Drosophila melanogaster: one gene and its partners. The protein of the gene in region 3 interacts with the protein of the main gene of each other region in a pairwise test. Each region holds a gene or a part of one and is shown on either strand. Other genes may lie near its edges.

The links. Proteins that work in one complex are often made in the same cells at the same time.
Region 1: the proteins of CG10911 (region 3) and Kdm4A interact in a two-hybrid assay, tested with the Drosophila melanogaster proteins (one large-scale study listed by BioGRID).
Region 2: the proteins of CG10911 (region 3) and CG42336 interact in a two-hybrid assay, tested with the Drosophila melanogaster proteins (one large-scale study listed by BioGRID).

The regions. Positions count from the first base shown.
Region 1 is NT_033778.4:7,920,227-7,928,753, forward strand, and holds Kdm4A (lysine demethylase 4A), read right to left. Parts: upstream 4,763-8,527; 5' UTR 4,691-4,762; coding exon 4,535-4,690; intron 4,464-4,534; coding exon 4,372-4,463; intron 4,307-4,371; coding exon 3,443-4,306; intron 3,387-3,442; coding exon 3,011-3,386; 3' UTR 2,549-3,010; downstream 1-2,548. Other genes in the region: Cul1 (cullin 1), read left to right, coding at 1-179; Or43b (odorant receptor 43b), read right to left, coding at 748-825, 889-1,246, 1,542-2,317; MFS12 (major facilitator superfamily transporter 12), read left to right, coding at 6,521-6,554, 7,860-8,069, 8,133-8,527. UniProt on the Drosophila melanogaster protein: Probable histone demethylase that specifically demethylates 'Lys-9' and 'Lys-36' residues of histone H3, thereby playing a central role in histone code. Demethylation of Lys residue generates formaldehyde and succinate.
Region 2 is NT_033778.4:11,291,988-11,299,049, reverse strand, and holds CG42336 (uncharacterized protein), read left to right. Parts: upstream 1-3,807; 5' UTR 3,808-3,879; coding exon 3,880-4,368; 3' UTR 4,369-4,514; downstream 4,515-7,062. Other genes in the region: CG18336 (uncharacterized protein), read left to right, coding at 4,785-4,800, 4,862-5,130; CG30033 (uncharacterized protein), read right to left, coding at 6,261-6,340, 6,400-6,502; dare (defective in the avoidance of repellents), read left to right, coding at 6,033-6,244, 6,632-7,004, 7,061-7,062.
Region 3 is NT_033778.4:18,049,700-18,057,395, forward strand, and holds CG10911 (uncharacterized protein), read right to left. Parts: upstream 4,368-7,696; 5' UTR 4,308-4,367; coding exon 3,930-4,307; intron 3,634-3,929; coding exon 2,932-3,633; 3' UTR 2,851-2,931; downstream 1-2,850. Other genes in the region: CG14495 (uncharacterized protein), read right to left, coding at 1-7; Muc55B (mucin 55B), read right to left, coding at 607-1,674, 1,962-2,351; CG10912 (uncharacterized protein), read right to left, coding at 6,423-6,860, 6,953-7,330.

The DNA.
Region 1 (8,527 bases), about 10 Mb from region 3:
TCATGAAGATGCGCAAACGACTCAACCACACCAATCTCATATCGGAGGTGCTTAATCAGCTGTCAACGCGCTTTAAGCCTAAGGTGCCCGTGATCAAGAAGTGCATAGACATCCTGATCGAGAAGGAGTATCTAGAGCGAATGGAGGGACACAAAGACACATATAGTTATCTCGCCTAAGTTTTTGTTAAATGAACAACTTTCGCTGTTTCATCTATGCCAGCCATTAAAAATATCATCAATAAACTTAGATTCGTGTCGACCCTCCGCTACCCTTCCTCCTAGCCCGAAATAAACTGCCGCCGAAACATTCGAACTAGAAGCGAGCTAAAAATACTCCATGCTTCGCATAAAATGTGCAATTCTCGCCAACGCGTCACTAACTCCATCTTCCGACACCCAGCACCTCATTCAAAGAAAAGGCCAGTCGCAGGGATCAAGTGAACCTATTGACCAGATCACAGCCGATGAATCCGGCCTCTGTAGGAACATATTCCAATTGCCGAGGACAAGGTTCCAGGTTCCCAGCCTACAAATAGACTTCTGCAGGGGCTGTACGGTATACATATGTAGCGATTTTCTTTACTTCCCATTGTTCGATCAATATTTGTTTTAACTAGATTATGTTTATTCATAATTCGCTGTATGCATATACAATTATTATAATTCTACGAAGCAAAAAAGTGTTAAGTTCATAAAACTATGTACGTTTACCTCTGGTGCGGTCAATTGTATTGAGTATTCCTTTCTATTCCTTAATGCTTAACTTTTGGTCCAGGTTCATACCGCTCGCGATGGCGTACACGGTGAAGGCGAACTTGGCTACCTGCAAGGATTGAAGTTCGGACTTTGCTTCCTTCCCCGTTCTAACCGAGAGCAGTGGACTTACATTGATGTTAGTGGCCAAATTAATGTTAAATATGTTCATGGCGGTGAAGGTCATGGGCTGCTGCAGTTTCTGCAGGAACTGGATGACAGTCCGCTGGTATCGCTTGTCCTGCACCCACCAGGCGGAATGGAAAAGTGCGTGGGCCAGTTCTTTGCAGTCGTCCACGATGGCGTTGCAGTAGAAGCAAAGCGGAAAAGTCTGCAGAAGGACGGCCATAACGTAGATGACTATGCCGAATCGGGTCGATTGATCAGCGAACAATACCATGTTGATCATAATTATGCCCAGGATCGATCCGCATATGATGAATTGGGCAAATATCGTGCCAGAGATGATTGGTTGAATGGCATCACAAAAACTGCATGGGAAACAGTGGGATGGGTTTTTAACATTGAAAATTTAAATTAATGCATATATTTTAAAAAATGTAAGCTAATTTATTTGAAATAAAATAGTTTTATGTCGAATCGTTTGATATACCATTTATTTTATCCTGAATGTAAAAATATACTCTTATATATTCAGAAATATCAATAGCGAGTTCTTATAAAAGTTGTACTTTTATTCAGTTTTCCGAATAAATTCAGATCCGTTGAGTGAAAACATAATTCACGGTTGTTGATATTTCCGGTAGGATAATGAAACTGACTTACTTTAGCATGGTTCTGTGTGCCTTGATACAATCCACCAACGATTTAAACATGTAGCTCGGGTCGCTGCTACCCTCGTTGCTGGGATCGCCCAAGTAAATGATACGGTCCTTGAGCAAGAGAATATGAGTTCGCAGGGCTGCCACGTAAATCACAGGGTAGGAATCGGTGGCGGTGGCCACATATATGGCATAACCCACGGTGAAGTACTCCAGAAAACTCTGGATGTACATCTGGGTCCGATCGACTCGCCAGTTTATGAACGGATAGTACGTATTGTAGGGAACACGGTGGTGCAGTAGTCCGTCCAGTAGCGTGGAGGTGGCGTAGAGGACGTAGACCACGACGAAGGTCAGGTACAGTCTTGTAATAGTGGCCACCATGTCGCGAACCTTGCGCTTCTCCGCCGGCTTCACGCAGTACTTATCCAATTCGTCAAAGTGCTTGTTGGCCAGCTCCAAGCGGTGCGTATAGACGATCAGAGTGAAGAACTTCAGAGCGAAGCACCAAGTGTTGAGGCACAGTTGCAGGGATTGCAGCAGCAGCTCCGGCGGGAACTCCGCCAGATGTATCACATAGTTGATTGGGAAACTTACGGGAAGTATCACCATATTGTAGGTGAACGAAAACACCCTCCAAATCTTGCGGCCTATACCGAAATCGTTCTTCAAATTCAAGCCCGAATTTCGCAGCGTCTCCATCATGTATGCATTCGAATCCCTAGACTGTATGGGCTCCGATATAGGAGCCGGATAGACGAGCTTAAAGTGTCCGAACATCTAAAGTTTCGAATGTTTAAGGCTATAATATAACTGGCGATAGGAGGAGCTCGGAATGCTTTTATAGTCCGCGATTTGTAGTTCTTAATTAATGTTTGCCAATTTAGTAGGCGTTCCTCTTTTGGTTGCAAAGAATTTTACACATGTGATAACATATCAAATTATTAAACCATATTTCTGTGTGATTATAGACATTGGCCTTTAGGGTGTTTTTTTTTTAAATGATTTTTTCTGATAGTTCCTTAAAAATGGTTGCCAATTTAGTGGGCGTTTCTCTTTTGGTTGCAAAGAATTTTACACATGTCATAACATATCAAATTATTAAACGATATATCTGTGTGATTATAGACATTGGCCTTTAGGGTGTTCTTTAAAAAATGATTTTGGCATTTTCAGATTTAAATTGTGTTGCAATACTTCTTTCGGTGGGAACAGACACTTGTTAAATTAAAATGTGAACGGACAAATTCAGTCTGCCCTACAGCTACAGCTTAAAGATTTACATATTTGTTTGCACGAATTTGCTTGTCTTCTAAATTATACACACATATCTTCTTAGTTATGTCGTCATGTCCTCTTAAAATGTATAAAAATTTACCAAAGAATATCACTACTAGATCTTTGATTGCTGCGGCGCGAAAATCTAACAAGGAGATCAAAAACTGCCAGCAAGCAGTGCCACATCTGGAATCCTCAATCCTCGTCGTCAAGTGTGAGTACTTTTGTCTGGAAGCGCATTCGTTTGGTATTCTTTACTACACCGTTGGTGAGCAGGTTGGCCCCTCGATCCGGACAGGGCAGTTCATTCCATAGGCGCTTTACGCGCACCACAGCCTCAGTATTGAAGTCGTATCTCTTGGGGGCGGAAGATGGTTCAGGTACAGACGCAATGGTTGGGAGTTTGCGTAGTTTGACAACTGGCTGCAGCTGGCGGCAGCTGCTATAGCTGCTCACACTGGCCTTATCGTCGACATCCTCGGCGGACTCCGCGTTTCGTTCACATCCATTGCCGGCCAGCGAGCAGCCTCGCTTCTGCGGAGATTCTTCTTCGGATTTGGCTGCACGTAAGCTGAAATATTAGGTTGTCTTAGTAATATAAGTCAACTTCAATAGCTAATGTAATACTTTTCCTGTTTCTCGTACTCATTCAAAGTGGGTGGTGCTGCAGCGCATATTTTACCCGGCTCCTCGGGATGACAGCCCATGTCCTGACCTTTCAGCCAATTATCGTATCGCTCTGGCTGGAAACGGCGTACGAAGGTCTCCATCGAGATCTTAACCATGTCGCTGCGGCATCGGCAAATACTAGCCCGCTTGCCGTACTCGATCCAACGCTTCGACGCAAAGTTGGTCGACTCGGCGCCGTTGAAGCCATGATTGAACCCGGCATGGTAGCCGAAGGGAAATGTAATCATGATTTCGCCCGCTTCCTGCGTGATCTTGTTGTAAGGTATGTTGTGCTGGCGCAGCACCTTCGGACTGATCATGGTCATCTTATGGCGAAGATAGGCATTGCATTCCTGGTAGTTCTCAGAGAAGGTTTCGTTCGCCAGCTTCTCCAGACGTCTGCCATACGCCGGCGGAATGGCGTACCAGGTTTTGGGTGCTCCAAAATGCAGATAGTTAATAGAATACAGATCCATGTCCTCGGTATGCCAGGCAAAAGAGCTCTTCCACATGCCAAAGTAGAGGTAAGCCGTGTTTACCCCATCGATGATTATGTTGTAGTCAGTGTTGACCAAGTTTAATATGGTGTCCAAGCGTCCAATGTTCCAAACGTCAAGGTCTTCATCACTCAGCGATCCCTTGACATCGGCTGCATACAGTGGCGATATGTAGGTGATGTTCTTCCAGTACTTGCGCTCCAGATCGTCGTAGTCGAAGTGCCTCGGTGTCTGGTGCAGCTCCGAGTTGGCCTTCTCCATGAATTGGCGCAAGGTCATCTGCCGGCGCTGCTGGATGTTGATTTGCTGGTACACCCCGTGCGCCCTGCATTAACATTCAAAAGTTTTCCCTTATTTTTGTCCATTGAGTCGTAAATGAGAAGCACTTACCCAGTGACTACTTGGCAAATCGGCGCTGGAATGGTCATGTTGATGTTGTCTATGTCGTAGCCCGACTTTCGGGGCACCCATTCCGCAGGTGGCTGCATATAAAAAAATACCAATTTAATTATATTTATGTGCAAAGATGTAGTTGGGGGCTGGGCCAGCTTACTTGGATTTTGGCCAAGCCGGCTAAGTGTGCTCCCCGAGACTCAATGTACTCAATGTAGGCGGAAAAATTTTGAAACTCCTCGTAGCTGGGACGGAAGGTCATGATACGGGGCACTTTGTTCTGCTCTTCATCGGCGAATGAAGATCTCGTGGACATATTGAAGGAGCAGCAAAAAAATTAAGCAAGCGAAACGAATCTCCTTTGCCTAGTGTGACCAGATAACAAGAAGTATAATATACAAAGAAATTATCGTTTTTCCGTTACAATAATATTTTGAAGAACAACATTTTTAAAGAAAATTTTAAAAAGATTTTAAGTATTTATTGCAGTACTGGTAAGGTATAAGGTATATATACAAGGTATATAAATGGAAATTAAATGAAATTAAATAAATAAGTAATAATAAGTATTTTTTAATAATCAAGATACATAATATAAAAATATCATATATTTAATTATTTAGTATGGAATTGGATGGCCTTTGTATTACTTTAAAATTCTAAAAATGAAAATTAGATCGCTTGGAGGAACAGCATATTTTTTTTACCAATTCGGCTACACATTGCCAACAAATCGTTCTTATCCCTACCAATTTGGAACCACATGTTTTAATTCTATTTTATAATGAATGGATACAAAACATAATTAGCTATTGCAATACATATTTACAGTATGAAACTAACCCATAAACAAGAGAGAATGCTATGGTCGAGTTCCTCGACTATCAGATACCCGTTACTCAGCTAGTGTGAATGCGAACACGAAATTTCGTAATTTTTCTGGGATATCTATAGATATTGGGGAATAAAATAAGAAAAAATTAAAAAATATTTCAAAATGAACGGCTTAGCGGCGTTAAAATGGGTGTGGCAAAAATTTATTTATTGGCAATCTATGTGAATGTCAAAAAATGTCAGTGCAGATTCTTGTATTTTGTCAATTTTAGCGTTTGGATCATTTTCTTATCGAACAAACGCAAAAGATCTCAAGGCATTAATGTAATCAACAACGTAAACATTACAACTATAGGGCTCTTTTGATCACAAGATGTGGTCTACGTGTTTCGTTGTTATATTCTCCTAATACGATCAAATACTTCTTAATAAGAATTACTATATTTATTATTAGCTACTTAAATGGTATGACAAATCATTTAAATCATGGCATGCATCACATAGTTAATTTTGAACAGGAGTACTATCTTTTTCGCATATCTATCACATAGAAGTTGCACACTCCGCAGTGATAAAGATTTAAAGCCACTTCAAATATTACAAAACGTCTTCGTTTGAATTATAAATGTCGTGGTACTTTCTCCTTACATAATACTTGATTGCCCCTCTGACGAAAGCCTTGAAGGCTGACACATGGTATATCTTAGCTATAAAGGCTTTCCCCAGAATCTACTTGGGATCAAAAGTGTTGACAGCGCTAATCGGAAGCTGTAAAACAATTAGGCCAGGATAATCAAGAGAATTCTGTGGAAAGTGCACACAACAAGAGATAACAATTGAATCATTGGCTCTAAAAGGGATTTCGAGTGCAGGCCAGTAACATCCCATATATGTACATATGTATACGTATCAGATAACCCTTTCTATATAAATTACTGATCCACTTTTTATAACAACTGGAATAATACGATCGGTTGTGTTCAATCGCTTACAATCGTAAAAGAAAATCAAAGCGAAGACTTAATGTAATTTGCATTGGATTGAACAATGAGGGGCAAGTGCCGAGCACTTTGGTGGCGGTTTATGGGTTTATGATTATTGCCGCGATAGTGACGGACGATCTGCGTGGCCACTTGAGACCTGGAGGCGGAGCCGCGTGTAATCAGGAGACTGCGATTTTGTGGTATCAGTATAAAAGCGAAAGGTACAACAATCGCTCCGCAGTTTACCATCGTTTTCGGGGCCAGCCACTTCGGACAGACTGATTTCCACATCACCGAGTTATTATAAATAAATCAGAAAGACATCTAAAATGGGTTTCGAACCCTCTGAGGATAAGGCAAGGCGTAAGTTTCGGATCGAAGAGAAAATCACTGCTGATTAAGATAGTATTAGAGTGTCATATTTCACATATTTCGAAATAAAAGCACAATAACTAGAGTTTCATAGAAAACCTTCGAGAGATTCCCAAAATATCAAAATTCAAGTGTGAATAGGTTTGATAAGGTGTGCACCGTGAACATATGGAGTTACTGGAATCGAAAATATTAAATAGAATAATATATATGAAAAAAAAATTATAAAGAACAATATTTTTACCAGCTGGTTCCCTTGCTAAATTAAGTCACTGTGGGCTGTGGACGTACACGTAGTGACGAAGCGCACCAGGATACTTTTTTAAATATTTTTACAAAGCTTAACGATTTAGTAGATTTTTAATTAATAAAATCTTTTGTTTTGTAAAGTCAAGTGCAAAATCATTTTTCGTCACAAAAGTTGATATCAGAACTTTAGTATCTTGTGAGGGTTCGTTCGTCACTTGTTTTAACTTAAAGACATAAATTACATATAGAGCACTATCAGTATCAGTTATACCGCTGCTCTCTTAATCTTCTCCATAAGTGCTCTTCACAAACCACTAGACCTACCCTAAGAGTTTGGTCAATGTTATTACAATCCAGACGTCTGGCTATATATTTGCAAACCATATCTTGATAAATCTTATATCAGACATCTGCCGAGACTTACGACTTTATGAAGATCAACAGAGATAAATCGGCCTGACACAAAGAAAATATTTATTAACTGCGCGAAGGTTGGCCAACGTGTTCATCTGCAGGGAAAGCAATTTCTGGCGATCTAATCTGAATATCCATCCAGTTCAACTTCATAGGAGGAGGCAATCGAGCTTTACGACTGTATACACACGTTTGGTCCCACGGTGGAGTCTCCACCACTACGCGAACTTTTCCATTGAGACCACACAGCTGCTTTTGTTTTCCTCATTGGCAGGCGTTAATGATAATGAAAATATTATTATAATAAAACCCAAAGAGTTCCGTCGGAGCCGCAATTAATGAAATCATCACTATCAGAGCATTGTTAAACGGCAATAAACCGTAGATTGAGGTCCTAGAAAATATCGACCAAGTGACAACAATTTGCACCGTGCACTTATAATGGGGCAATCAATAAATCGGATGGCCAGACGCCAGTTAAATTCCTAACTGATCAGACATGGTTTATTATTCCAGTGGAGAGAGAAGACCCCTGCTAGTCAGAGTAGTTCCGAATCCGCTTAGGAGACTAGCCTGTAAATGAGCGTATCTTTAATCTCTAAACTAAATAAATCATTTACATACCCATCTCAGCTGGAGGTCTTGGCGTGCGACACTGGCAGGCGGTTCTTCTGTTCGTGGGCATGATGATCAACTACTTCCAGCGGGTGAACATCTCGGCTGCCATTGTGCCCATGACGCAGTCCACCGCGGGGGCTCCGTTCTACACCTGGGATACGTCGGACAAGTCCCTGATCCTCAGCAGCTTTTTCTGGGGCTATGTGGTCTCCCAGGTGCCGGCAGGTGAGTGGCTGCAATCTAGGCCGGAATCTACTCGTACTTACCACCTGCTTCACAATTTTGTAGGACTGCTTGCCAAGCGATTTGGAGCCAAGTTAGTGCTGGGCCTGGCGACTGCAATCGGAGGTATTTTGTGCTTCTTCCATCCCATTGCAGCCAAAAGCGGGTGGCAGAGTATCTGCGTTCTGCGCGTTCTTACCGGTCTGGTCCAGGGCACGGTTTATCCGTGTGTCCACACGCTGCTGGCTAAGTGGGTGCCACGCACTGAGCGGGGACTGCTAACCACTGGCGTTTATTCGGGAGCACAGTTCGGAACGGCTGTCATCCTGGTCACCAGTGGCTTCATCTTCGAATCCAGCATGGGTTGGCCAGGGTTGTTCTACCTTTCCGGAGGTCTCAGCCTCGCTTGGGCGCTGCTTTTCTTTTGGCAGGCCGCCAATGAACCGGTTACAGCCAGCAGG
Region 2 (7,062 bases), 6.8 Mb from region 3:
CACTAATGGAGAGGGAGGTGATTCAAAGCGCACATGAAGTTGGCCATTTGTCGTTGCAAAAGACGATGCATAGCATACAGCAGCAATTTTTTATTCCTCATTTGGAATACAAGGTAAAAAAGCTAATTTCTAACTGTATAAAATGTATCATCCACAGCAAAAAGTTGGGAAAGCAGGAGGGATATCTAAATTGCATAGATAAAGGAGACGCACCGTTGCACACACTACACATCGATCATTTGGGGCCAATGGATTCATCGGCCAAACAGTATAAATACATTCTGGCAACAGTCGATGCGTTTTCAAAGTTTGTCTGGTTATTCCCAACCAAATCAACCGGACAGGAAGAAGTGGTCAAGAGGCTGACCGACTGGTCAAACATTTTTGGTTTCCCTAAGCGAATTGTTAGCGACAAAGGAACGGCCTTTACGAGTGGTGCGTTCGAACAATTTATGAGCAGCCATAACGTGGAACACGTCTGCACAACTACTGGAGTGGCCAGAGGCAACGGCCAGATAGAACGAGTAAATCGTTTAATTTTGGCAATAATATCAAAGCTGTCTTCAGACGAACCGTCGAAGTGGTACAAATATGTGCCTGAGGTACAAAAGGCGATCAACTGTCACGTGCATTCATCACTGAAGCTGTCACCATTTGAGGTCATGTTTGGCACCAAGATGTACACCCGAGTTGAGGATCGGTTACTGGAACTGCTCCAAGAAGAAGTGGTCTGTCAATTCAACGAGGACCGCTATGAGATGAGACAGCTGGTAAAACGCAACATCGAGCAGGCGCAGAAGGACTACAAGCGCAATTACGACAAAAAGCGCCGAGCTGAATACAAATACAAAGCAGGTGATCTGGTTGCAATTAAAAGGACCCAATTTGTAGCTGGCCGCAAGATGGCAAGCGGGTATTTAGGTCCATACGAAGTCACAGGGGTCAAAGACAATGGCAGATATGACGTTAAAAAAGCAGCAAACGTCGAAGGACCCAATGTCACATCCACCAGCTGTGACAACATGAAGTTGTGGAAGTACATAGCCGAAAATGCAGACCTATTGTCATCCGGGTCGGATGATGATGATCAGGAGGGCCGAATGTAACATGGAGTAAGGCTGAAGGCTGGCAACAACCCGGTTGGCAGCGCTGTTGAGCAGCAACATGATTGTCGGAAATCGAAGTTATCGACAATCAGTCATCGAAGGAACGATCGCAAGGCAGCAGTGGAGTCGAGTGGAAGTCAGCGTTGCAGTCAGTCGAGTTCTCAGCAGCAGTCGTTCGGTCACAAACTAAGAATACTTTATATAATTACCGCATTTAGAATTAAACTAATAATTAAATTAATAATAAACAATAATAATAAACAATCTTACATTTATATACAATATGCAATTATACATGTTGACCGATGAAATTTAAATTTTTGCGGCTAGCGGTTGGTAGCGATAACTTGTAATCGACTGTTAGTGTGACCGGACCACTGTTATCTGAGTTCTGTTCACAAGCCTTCACTATATCGATGAATCGTAGGGAGTACAACATTTTCGTCTGACAATCGCAGCTTCCTCTTCTCCGAATCGTTTTTTTTTCGTAATTGTTGAGATAAAGTCGCAAGCGGAACGCCCGAACTGTAGTGCAGACGCACAAGTGCTCTTCCAAAGACCCTTAAGACAATCTTGCAGTGATCCAACATGGTTGACCTCACCGACGCCGGCTCGCCGTTCCAGCAATCCATTCCCGACTTCGCCTTCTACGTGCCGGCAATTGTTGTTTTTACCCTGGCAGGTAAGTTGCGGATGATCCCCTCCCCTGGCCCCCTTCATTTATTAGCTACCACCTTTAGACCCCTCCTTTCCCCAGTGTTATGCATGCAATATCTTTATAGTCGTAGCGAAACCGCGACTAAATGGGTCGAAAGACTTTCACCAAGCGAGCAACTTAGTCAAGTGCTTGCTGGCCGTTTGATATGCACAGCTGTTGGATGTTTGGTTTTTCGTTCTTATCTGTTTTGATTTGAGATACCCTCGATTCGGATTGCCTTTGCGATCTTTTGTCTTACGTGTTCCATCTGGCCAGTCCGTCTCATTCCGGTTTTCTTGCGTACGTAGTCAAAAGTTTGTGGTTCTCAAGAGCGATAATGGCCCTCTGATAAGGAGTCGACCTGCCACCGTTCAATAGACTCTGTCGTACAGTCAAACCTCCGCCGCAAAACGTACCTTTTTGAAATCTTCGAATTTCCAGCATCTCTATTTTGAACATTGCTAGCGTATTTTTGCAGAGATCTTCAAGCAAAACATATTGGTTCCAAAAGTAACTTAATTAAAAAAGCCATTTCTAAATGAGCGTTGTATATGTTTTATAGGTAGAAAGATTAGAAGTGTTATCTTGATATAACATTTATATTAGCTGAAACATTGAATTCCAATTCTAGTGCTTGATATTGCAGAAATTAATAAAAGATCTATAAAATCAGTTCGCGATGTTCGTCTTGAACAATTCAAACTGTAGACGTTTATATGGTGGCCATCTTGTAACATTGTAGCCATCTATCGCTCGCGAATGGGACGGCACTCTTTACTGGGGTTTTGTCTTTATGTACTCGTGTGTCCGGCACTGATTAGTGGCTCTCCCTTATCGCATATGCACACATATGCTCTCCGCAATGCCAACTTCTTGCGATCACCTTTGAAAATATGCTGACGAAGGCAGGAGGCAAAACGAAAAGCGCAGCGAAAAGTTAACTAGTGGGCATATCTGGGAATAATGAAATACAAGCGACTGATTACACACGAGTGGCGGCTTATAATTATATTGATTTTAATATAAGTTTTAGAGAGACTCATTCAGTCCTCCCAAACAGCAGAAGCCGGAGCACGTAAGCACCGGCGATCTAGCGCCAAAATTAGTTAATATTGGAAAGTGTGCGATTTGGGGGGGATTAAATATCGTAGTTTATGTGATTTGTACAATCGTTATTATCTCTGCATGCCGCGTGTCAAACTTGTGTTATAGATAATCAAAATCCATTTTCGAATTCGATTCGTTTGTTTTGCCACGTTGTTTGTTTCTGTGATTTTGTTTGCCCCCCCAATAGCATGCTGAAATGCAGAAAGTAGAACCATAAACCGAATACCATGATTTCCTATATACCATCCATTCAGACGCGAACCGCTAAAAGCCAAAGAGCCCACAGAACCCAGCCCGTAAATTAAAGCCCCAAACAGAGATTAGATCATGGCTGAGGATCCGGTGAACCAGCAGGCATTCGCTGAGGACGTGGCAGCTGCCGCTGCGGCTGGAGGAGCCGGCGGTTTTGCCGGTCCCGAGCCCGGACATCCCGACTTTAAGATGCCCAGTGCCGAGGAGATCTGGAAGCTGGTCGAGGGCATGGAGGGAATTTCGGACGACGAGCGAGCCGAGCTCCGCGAGAGCATCTTTAACCCGAAGCCGCCGTCGCCGGAGGACTTCATGCGCCAGTACGGGCATCCGGGCCACAGTTCCCGGGAGTACCTGGTGTTCTTCGTGATGCTGGCCCTCATACTCATTGTCTTTGGTAAGCGTCCTCCGGAACGAGCCACTAACGAGTCGTATAACCCTTATCGGGCGCGATATACGCACCCACCTGGGTTTCTGCTTAAAGGGCGATAAGGTTTTAGGAGGCGGCTATGTCGAAGCACTCACTCACTCGCTCACGAGCCACAGCTAGAATGTTTGCTTCGTTTAAAAGCGTTCGATTTTTGATAAGATAACCAGTGGTAAGCGTAGGATCCACCGCAGACATAGGTAGAGTGGAATCCAAAGAGCAGTATTTGCCAGAGACCCATGCCGGGCTGTAGTTGACACACCACTTAGCCCCTTTTCCGAACAACCCAAAACATGAGTTGGTCGGGTTCCAGTGACGAGCTCGGGGTTATTGAGCAGCTGAAAAAGTCCGTGGAGTCGATCGTGGCCAAAACTGGGCCCAGCAGCAAGTTCTCCAAGGATCTCGTCCAGCGGATCGGCGAGATGCAGAGCAAGCTGGAGTCCCTGGCCGAAACGGATCGGCATGTGTTTCTCGCCGAGATGAAGGACAAGTTCCAGCAGACGATTGGCAGAATCGAGGAGCGAATAGTGCAGCACGCCCATTTCGCACAGACCTACTCCAGTTCCATAGTGTCGGCAGTGATCTTTCTCTTGGTCTCCATATTCGGTCTCAGTTCCCTTGATCGCATAATGTATCAACGTCACCTTACTAACCGTCTCCCTTCTTTCCGCATTACAGCTCTCTTTGGCTACAAGCTGTACAAATCCCTGACGGAAAAGGAGCTCAAGAAGCAGGAGAAACTGAAGAGCAAGCAACAGAAGAAGGCCAAGAAGTCAAACTGAAGGAGATGGAGGCGAGGATATCATTGACGTAGTGCACTTTCCGGCCCTGAGACCTTCCATCTTGTTAATCAATACAATCGCCCTGTAAATGACTAAATCATAAACCAGTAAACGTAATAAAATAAAACGTACCCCATAACTCTTTTAAATGCCACGGTAATTGTGTTGTTACGACGAGTCGAATTAATTGCCATTAAAATACGGCATCAGGAAATGCAAATCGGTGTCGTGACCTAACTTGTTGCTGCCATCTAGGCAATCCGTCCAATCCTGGCCTCCGTTGTCATGGGAAACGGGGTCGTTTTGTCGAAGCTTCTCCTGTCAGGCCAGCTATTAATAGTTAAATTCAGTTTCCAGTTACCCAGTTAAGCAGCAACACTCGGAAAGGATCAACAATTTTTGCGGAAATAAAAAACATGTCCTATTCCAGCCGTAAGTTAAAAGCTCAACCATGACTTATCTATTAATCTAATGTGTCAACATGCCCTTCTAGGATTTGGTTTCGACTTCCATCTGCCGGATGAGGGATGGTGCTACCCGAAGAACGACATGCATTTCATCCGCAGCGCGGAATGGGTGCCCGTGGAGAAGGCAGGCGTGGGCCGCTCATTCGCCAATCCCAATGGCGTGATCTATCCGCGGGTGGTAGGCATGATTCCACGCTACGGCGGCCACGTTCCGGGCAACAAATTTCGTGTGGGCAACACCTATGGCCGTTCCACCATCGACGCCAAGCGTCATCTGGCCCTCAATCATGATTGAGGACCGAGTTATCGGAACACTCACTCACCATTAGCCAATCAAATTCGCTGTGTTACGCTTACAGAAGCACCCGAAATAAATCGTATCCAGTAGAAGCCTGTAGAAAATGGCAAATAGAAATAAAATCATACAAATTCAAATGTCCAAGAAAAGCACATTTAATTTATGATGGCTTTTTCGAGCAATAAAATTAATTAAACTTTAGGTCACAAGATAAGAATATATTCGTTATGGTACACAAGGTGCCAAAAACACTTTTCTCCTAACAAATATCAAGAAAAGTAACTATAATTATTGATCGCACGCGAAAAATTTTAAAATAAAATCTCAAAAAGTATTTATTTCATTTATTATTTGACTTTTAGTACATTTATTACAACATTTCTGTAAATGCTTCAATATTTTTTTATAATAATAAATACTTCTTGTTAATTTTCAATATTTTTAGAAATGAAAGGAGTGATATGTATATTTAAACGCCTTATGAGAGTATCAAGTATCAAAAAGGCGCGCAATTTAAATTCTTGCTCCGCTGCAACTGTCTGTATAACAATATTAAAACATCCTTACTTTCCTAGCTTTCTATTACTAATGTACTGTCGGTGCTTGGGGTCATATATTTTTAGATTTTTCATAGGAATTTTCATCTCAGAAAAATTAAATTAAACCGAAATCACGTAGTGTTACCATAACGCAATGAGAGCAAATACTCTGTTTTGTTTGGATTCCGTTGGGTATTTTGGGGACTGCTGGCGAAAGTCTTTCGAGAGATAACGAGTAAATAAGAAATCATCGTTAGCAAAAAACTTTTTTGAGAAGATCACCTAGCAAACCGACTGATTATCTGTAAGATACGAAAACGAGCTGCTTTCCCAGTAGCAGAGATCGGCGACTGATCCACGATGGGCATCAATTGCCTTAACATCTTCAGACGTGGCCTCCACACGAGTTCCGCCCGATTGCAGGTGATCCAGAGCACCACGCCCACCAAGCGGATATGCATCGTAGGCGCCGGACCCGCCGGCTTCTATGCCGCCCAATTGATCCTCAAGCAGCTGGACAATTGCGTGGTGGATGTGGTCGAGAAGCTGCCGGTTCCCTTCGGACTGGTGCGGTAAGCAGAACAATCTTTATAAGGCGGTGCTGTTGGCTGCCAGGCCAAAGCCAAATATTGGACCCACTACGGAGCGGAAGATGCCAGTGAAGTATGCTGAAGAGATCGACATGTGTGTAATCCTTGCCAGAAATCCAGGGGTAATGTAAACATACCTCCCACCTGGTCAAGACTCCACAGGGGATTGGCTGCAATCAGTGACGGAGTGATGATCACCAAGAGACACAAGCTGAGTGGATTGCCGCCTAGCACCTGCATCTTGGAATACAAACTGTGACAACCACTCCGAAATCAAATGCTTATATCCGCACACGATTGCGTGTGCACGGCATTCCATCGCACTTATCGACTAACGACTTGTCCCATTATGCAAATCGCACATTGCAGCTTTGGCGTTGCGCCCGATCATCCGGAGGTCAAGAACGTAATCAACACCTTCACCAAGACCGCCGAGCATCCGCGTCTGCGTTACTTTGGCAACATATCGCTGGGTACGGATGTCAGCCTGCGTGAGCTAAGAGATCGATACCATGCCGTGCTCCTCACCTACGGAGCGGACCAGGATCGGCAACTAGAGCTGGAGAACGAGCAGTTGGATAATGTGATATCAGCCCGGAAATTTGTGGCCTGGTATAATGGATTGCCGGGTGCGGAAAACTTGGCTCCGGATCTGAGCGGTCGCGATGTCACGATTGTGGGTCAGGGAAACGTGGCTGTGGATGTGGCTAGGATGCTGCTCAGTCCCTTGGATGCTTTGAAGGTGAGTTTCTTTTTAATACCCAAACAATTCCACGATTCTCATGTGCATTGTTACAGAC
Region 3 (7,696 bases):
CTTCCATTTGATCGTCCGTCTCGAATGCGCTCAAGAACCAACGAAAATGCTCAAGTGCCGAGCGTCTAATTGATCATTTCCTAATAACTCGGTTCTGCCCCATTCGGTTTTATTGACCAGCCCGAAGGCCAGTTATTTATGAAAGGTTCAGGTGCACCACTTATCTATAGACGTGCACAATGTGATTGCCAGTGTCGTCCGGTGGATCGAAGCTCTCTGATCTAAGAGTAGTGGCAAACACCAGTAGTCAATAGTGTGGCGCTTGTCTGGTTGGACAGGCGAGATAAAGCTCATTACTCCGTCATCTATCAGAGATAAGATTACTCCCAGCGTCGTACTCAAGAGGGTTAATCCACTAGTCAACCGACTTGATTGAATATATTTGGAATTCAAAACAAAAAGTGTGCATACAGTTTCTATATATTTAACAAAAGTTTTAATCTACTAATACAGCAATTTGTTGATATTTTTGGAACCCCTTCCGCAGAAATCCTGCACGCGTCCCTCTATGAAAACAATTTGAAATCAAACCCAAAAGTATTCTACGCTTTATACGTAGCTAAATTTTCTCATTGAATGCAATAAATAATACAAAGTTTCTCACGCTTAGAAGAAGCGCTTAAACAGGTTCCAAGTTCTCCTCTGACCGAGACGCCCAGATCTGTCGATATCTTCCTCAGGGGAACGCTCGGTAGTGGAAGCGGCTTCGGTAGTGCTTTCTGGAGTACTGGACACTGGAGCTTCAGTAGTCGATGGAGCTACAGGAGTAGTTGACACTGGAGCTTCAGTAGTCGATGAAGCTACAGGAGTAGTGGGCACTGGAGCTTCAGTAGTCGATGGAGCTACAGGTGTAGTGGGCACTGGAGCTTCAGTAGTCGATGGAGCTACAGGTGTAGTGGGCACTGGAGCTTCAGTAGTCGATGGAGCTACAGGTGTAGTGGGCACTGGAGCTTCAGTAGTCGATGGAGCTACAGGTGTAGTGGGCACTGGAGCTTCAGTAGTCGATGGAGCTACAGGTGTAGTGGGCACTGGAGCTTCAGTAGTCGATGGAGCTACAGGTGTAGTGGGCACTGGAGCTTCAGTAGTCGATGGAGCTACAGGTGTAGTGGGCACTGGAGCTTCAGTAGTCGATGGAGCTACAGGTGTAGTGGGCACTGGAGCTTCAGTAGTCGATGGAGCTACAGGTGTAGTGGGCACTGGAGCTTCAGTAGTCGATGGAGCTACAGGTGTAGTGGGCACTGGAGCTTCAGTAGTCGATGGAGCTACAGGAGTAGTGGACACTGGAGCCTCAGGAGTAGTGGACACTGGAGCCTCAGTAGTCGATGGAGCTACAGGAGTAGTGGGCACTGGAGTTTCAGTAGTGGATGGAGCTACAGGAGTAGTGGTCACTGGAGCCTCAGGAGTAGTGGACACTGGAGCCTCAGGAGTAGTGACCGTGACTGGCGTCCCAGAGGTCGTAGTGGGAACAGTCGGTTCGGGGGAAGTCTCGCCTCCCTTTAAGCACAACGTCAGATTCTCGTCGCAGGCGTCCATGTCGTGGGCGTAATCCAAGCGAGCTGAATCCACACAGTCAGTAAGATCGGTCTCGATCACTTGGTACTTGGCACTGATGCGGTTGAAGTCCAGGCTGGAGTCACTGTTCAGGGTGAACATAACCTTGTAGCTGTCGGAGGACTAAAAGATATTGCATGTTACTATTTATTGTATATTCCCTTAATGTTAGACTGTCACTCATTATAAAGCACTTTAGCTCTCGTCTGATAATACGAATGAATTTATGACAATGGCACGCTTTTTTAATCCGCTCTAATCGAGCAGTAAGCAATACGATTGGAAATCTAGACCAGTGTGTGGCCAAGGCACATTTTAAAGAGCTTTTCATTATAATCGTAAGTGCTTGAAGAGGTAGATCATCTTCTGGAGATTTCGAGATAATTAAATTAGTGAATAATTTTTCTTACGGCATTGCGGTAGCAGTCGAAGAATTCCAGGCCATCAACAAGGGTATCGCACTCAGTCAGACTGGAACACATTTTGTTGGTGCGATCCAGAAGGGCTTCGCGCTCCGAGGCGCTCTCCTTAGTGAGCTCATCCCGACCACTTTGTGCTGTTCTCAGACATCCGGTGTACTGTAGGTTGTAACCCATGATCACGTTGGTCTGGTCCTCCAGGTAGTGGTTGAAGCAGTCATTGATCAGGGTCGAATCATCCCGTGCCTCGGGAGCGGCCATTAAAGTTCGAACGGCGAACTGTTGGCGGGCCAACATGGAGACTAGATCGGCGGGATGCTTGGGGACCAGGGCAAAGCCACTGGTGGCCAATAGCAGGCACAGGACAACAGCGAACTTCATTTTTAGTATTCCCACTTAACTGACCGACTTAACGGATCTCGAATACGTACTGAATGCTACCGGCCTTTGGTTCATATTTTTATAGCTCTCTTCTATCATAATTTTCGGTAGTTGGAACTGTCATCGAGAAATCTTTAAATCATGCTGATTAAAAGCTAATTAAGTTGCTATCGTGTTCTTAAAATCGGCCATGATTCCTTCCGATTTGATTTTTAATAAGTTTTTCTGTGACCCAAACATCCATAAATAGCCCTGTTATCTGGTAATGGTATAGTATAGTTGGTAGCTTATCGGCTGACCGCCTCTAATTGATTTGCTAACGTTTGGTTAGTCAAGTGGCGGGTAACACTGTACTTTGGCGCCTGAACGGGGACTATACCCTGATAACTTGATAACAGCGGATATCTTTAGAGGGTTTCACAATAAATCACACTGCTCATCTTTTCAAGTTATGAAGTTAAATTTTTATTTACCCAATGGAAAAACACTTATTGTTTTTATTTTCGAATAAATAAAGTAGATATTTATATTTATTTGGGTTTTATTCGTTTATGCTTTTATTTAAAATTAAAACGATCGCTTAGTGATTTTTAAACCAAACCCGTAGATTCTTTAGAATCTTCTGGAGGTCATTGCTGTTTTGAGAGGAGAGGGATTTCAAGTCCTCCTCAGGCGCCGCTTCCTTTTCACCACTACTTGTTGTGGATTCCGTGGAAACAGATGAGGAATCAGTAGAGGATTCGGTAGAATCGGAGGGCGAATCAGACGAGGATTCAGTAGAGGATTCGGTGGAAGCGGATGAGGAGTCTGTCGACGAATCAGTGGATGATTCGGTGGACACGGAGGACGAATCAGTTGAGGAATCCGTTGAGGATTCAGTGGAGACGGAGGACGAATCAGTAGACGATTCGGTGGAAGCGGAGGAAGAATCAGTCGAGGAATCAGTAGAAGATTCGGTGGAAACGGAGGACGAATCAGTAGAAGATTCGGTGGAAACGGAGGACGAATCAGTAGAGGATTCGGTGGAAGCGGACGTCGAATCAGTCGAAGAATCCGTGGAGGAGGCCTGGGTGCTTGTGGATTCCGATGGAATTGGAGCGCCAGCAATGCAATCACCCAAATCCGCGTACAGCTGACCGTAGCTCTCTCCATAGGCCCTCTGGGTCTTGTTGGTGCACACCTCTTCCTTCACCTTGATGAGACGCACTTCCTCCTCCACAGCAGCCAGCAGCTCCGAAGCGTTAGCGGAGATGGTGAACATGGTTTTGGTGTTGTTGGAGCCCTGAAATGTAGAATATTTGAAAATTAGTAAATGTTATAGAAATATACTATATAGTTAACTTAATCAACCGCAAACTAAATTTCGAATATGTATTTAGACTGAAAATCATGTTTCTGGCAAAGTAAAACTTTAGTAACTGTTGGATTTGGTAATCACTATTAAAAGTTAACAATTTAATTAGATTATATAATCATGTGTTTGACTAATCATTTTTTTTTTTTCAACGCGAAAATAATTTGTAATCATCAATTTGGGAGTGGTTCATGTTCGCGGCAACACATCAAAAGTCAACTTACGGCTTCACTGTAGCACTGGAAGTAATCTATGGCCGCTTCCTTTGTACTACATGCGGTGAGGGCATCGCAGGAGCTCTTGGCTGAGGCATCGATGGCATCTCGTTCTTCCTTGGTATTGTCGTTGATCTGTGAGACCTCCTGACTAGCTGTTTCCAAACACGCATTTAAATCAGCCTTGTAGGTCTCCACAACGTCGTTCAGCAGGGGAAGATAATAATCCAAGCATTCAAGGGTATGTCCACCATCGTTGCCGAGATCACGTGATTGTATCAGGAACTGCACTAGGTTCTGGTGCGGATTACTAAGTTGCAGGGGCGGATACGCAATGGCCTGACTAAGGCCAAGGGCCAAAAGGATAGCGCACAACTTGACGAGCATTTTTTTTTTTATATACAGTTTACGTTTAAACTATTCCAGCGATCGAATCGTACTTATTGGATCCCACCTAGCACCTGCTGTATTTATAGGCGTCGCGATTGAGTGGTCCATAAAATAATATTCCTACCTTGGTTTCCATTAAAAACCGCATGTTATTGCCATGTTATTGGACAGCTTTAGCCTATCACTCGAGCTATCTCAAAAACCCGGCCGTAGTCAGTCTTATCAGTCTTATCGGTTTTATAACCATCACTCCATTGGGTCCCACCCGGCAAATCCAGTTCAAGGGTTTCCTTCACTCCGCTCCCAAAATTTTTATTCACCTAGATCAGCATTCGATCGAATTCTATACTTCCCAGAATTGATCTTCATACGCAATTTGCCGAGCTTGCTAAAAAAAAAAAGGAAGCAAATAGCTAAGAATTTAAGGCTTAAATAATCTAATCTATTTCGAGTGTTTATAGTGCGAATATACACGTGTAGTCTATATGTCTGTCATACAGTTCGATTCTTGGAATATTCACAAACCACTTGAAAGTATCGGAGGTAACGCGAAACAATCTTATTATTAAATGTTATTGGTGAAAAGAAGTAAGTGCGACAAGTCCTTCGACTTGGCTAAAAGTAAACAAGTAGGCATGCTAGGGTTGAGTGTAACGAACTGGGAAGTAACAATTATAGACCGCGGCTTTTAGGATTTCCCAATTCGTTATCAATTAATTTCTGAGTCGATATTCGGGCACAGATTGATTACTTGATTTTGGTATAATTTCTATGACTAATGACCGAACAATACACATTTCAAGCTTATCAAAAGAGCTTGTCGGTCAACACAATAATTACATTTGAAAAAGTTGAATGACTCACTTCACCCGATATTGTTGCCCAAAATAAAAATCTATCGTTGAGATGGTTGGCCAAGATTAAAGCCGTCTCCATTGCATACCTCTGCATAATTATCAGAGCCCAGTGGAGTGAAGATGCCATCAGGTATACAGGAGCTGCCGGAGCAAGGACATCTTCTAATTTGCATATCTTAATTGCGTGTTCTTCTTTGAGTCAGTGTGTGTGTGTGTGTTTTGGGTATCGCAATGCCAACCAACCAATAGGCAGGCTGCAAGACGGCAAGGACGCAGGATACTGGGACTTGCCAAGTTATTGGCTTTATTTTGGCAAAGTGAAATCTTCTCCCCTTTGCACAGCGCTTCTAATTTGTTTTAATTGCAGTGACAACAAGGCCGCCACCGGCAGCTGTACAAACAATAACACCACATGCAATTAAAATTGAATAAAAAAAAACACCGCTAGGAAAATGGCTCTGATGTTTATTTAACTGTTACCGCTACCTTAAAGTGTCCCGTCCTAGATTTCCTTTTTCCTCGCCCTTTTTATTTGTCCTGCCCGGGGTAAAGTTTTCCCAGGCTGATTTACATGTTTGTCCTTCCATTCCCCGCTAATGCCAACCCCCCCCCCTCCCCCCAGTCCGTGTCCTGCTGGATCTTTGATAAACTTGGACTGATGGCAAATGCAAAAAGTTTTATTTGCATCGCATCAGGTTGGTTTCCTACTCGGTTTTCCACCTAGATCGGTCCGTTAATTAAGTAAGTTGCAATGGGTTTTAGTTTCTCGTTTGAGTTTCCAGATTGACTTCATCACTTGATTCCATCTGTTTAGTTTAAGGATTGGAGCCAATCCTTAAGCCATTGCCATTTCTCAAAGGCCCTAGGCCTGTTTTTCAATTGCATCAGAAGTTTACTGAAAACGGATAAAAAGCCATTCAGACGAAGATAAGAGTATTCTTGGCAAATAAATTATTCTAGCTTGGAATTTTAAATGGCTATTGAAACAGTTGTATCAACTCATATAAAATATAGTTGTAAGTTAAGTGTTTAGTTTCTTTAACATTATTTAGAGCACAATCTCATTTTAATTGTAAGATATGCCACAAAATATTGTAAGTCCAAACTTTTCATTAAACATTAGCTATACCCCTAGTTATAGCCCAAAAAATGAGTATTAATATTAGTTTACTTTATTAATTGTTCACTATTAATATTGTCTTTTTGCAATGTTCCTTTTTAGTTTATTGATATTGACTTTTATATTGTTCAACCCTTAAAGAATATGTTTGAAAATATTGTCCAGTCTTCTTGGAAATCGGTGCTGGCTGTTGCCACTGCTGTTTTCAACGGAACTAAAATGCGCAACTGTCGATGGAGATCTCGTTGTTGAGGAGGTGGAAGACGATGAGGTGGTGGTTGAAGGAGATGGGGTCGTGGTGGTAGTAGTGGGGTTGGCGGCGGTGGTGCTGGTGCTGGAGCTGGAGCTGGAACTGGTAGTGGTGGTGCTTCTTTCCGGCACAGGATTCTCACCGCTCAGGCACTTCTGAAGATCTTCGTAGGACTCGCCGGAGCGGATCTCATAGTTCCTGGACGTTGCAGAACAGCATTGGTCACGGGTGAACACCAGTGTTTCGACCTGCTGACGCAGTGAACTGACCGAGACCGAAGCATTGGCTGCCACATTCGACAACTGCTTGGAATATGTCGGACCCTGAAAATTAATTTGAATTTGAATGTTTTAATTTTACAAAATAAGACTTATCAAATAATTGTATTTAAAAAATCAAATCACTATTCACTTACCTCAGTGGAGTAGCAGGATAGAGCATTTTCGCTGTTATTCTGTTTATCGCAGTCCAGCAGGAACATGCAGGATTCGAAGGTGGAATTGCTGAGGTCCCAGACAACGGAATTGTACTGTTCCAGAACCTGTTCATAACCGCCATCATACTTATCGACGCACAGATTGTACTCATCCACATACTCCGCATACTCGGTTTTGAATACGTCATTATAGTAGTCAAAACATTCTACGGTCAGTTGTGGATTATTACGCTGGATATCACTGGTGGCGCTCATTATCTCAAGAATTCGCGAAGGACCAGAGATGAGGTTGGGATTCGCGATGCAGGAGCCAATGGCCACGGTGGCCAGCAGGATGGCGATGAGATGTGACTGCATGTTGCTCGTTGTGAGGTTCGTTTGAAACTTGCTTCTAACTGGCTACTGGCCAAGGCATTTATGCCAAGTCTTTGGGTGCCACAGACTTAGCGATCGCAGGGGCTTTTCTCCTATCTTGATGCAGATAAGACATATCAGTATGCCACTCACCCTACACACCGGACTTGGTCTACTTTCATTTCCTTCGAAAATCTGTAAACAATCATACGTCGACAAAATGGCGGTGGGTATCTGTTTTGAGACGTTCCATTTTAAATCGGTCATTGATTGGAGGTCATTCAATTGTTACCCCGCCGGAATGAATGTAAATCTAATAATATTCGAGTTTTTAATGCGAAAATTCCTCTGATATCATTATTATTCGGC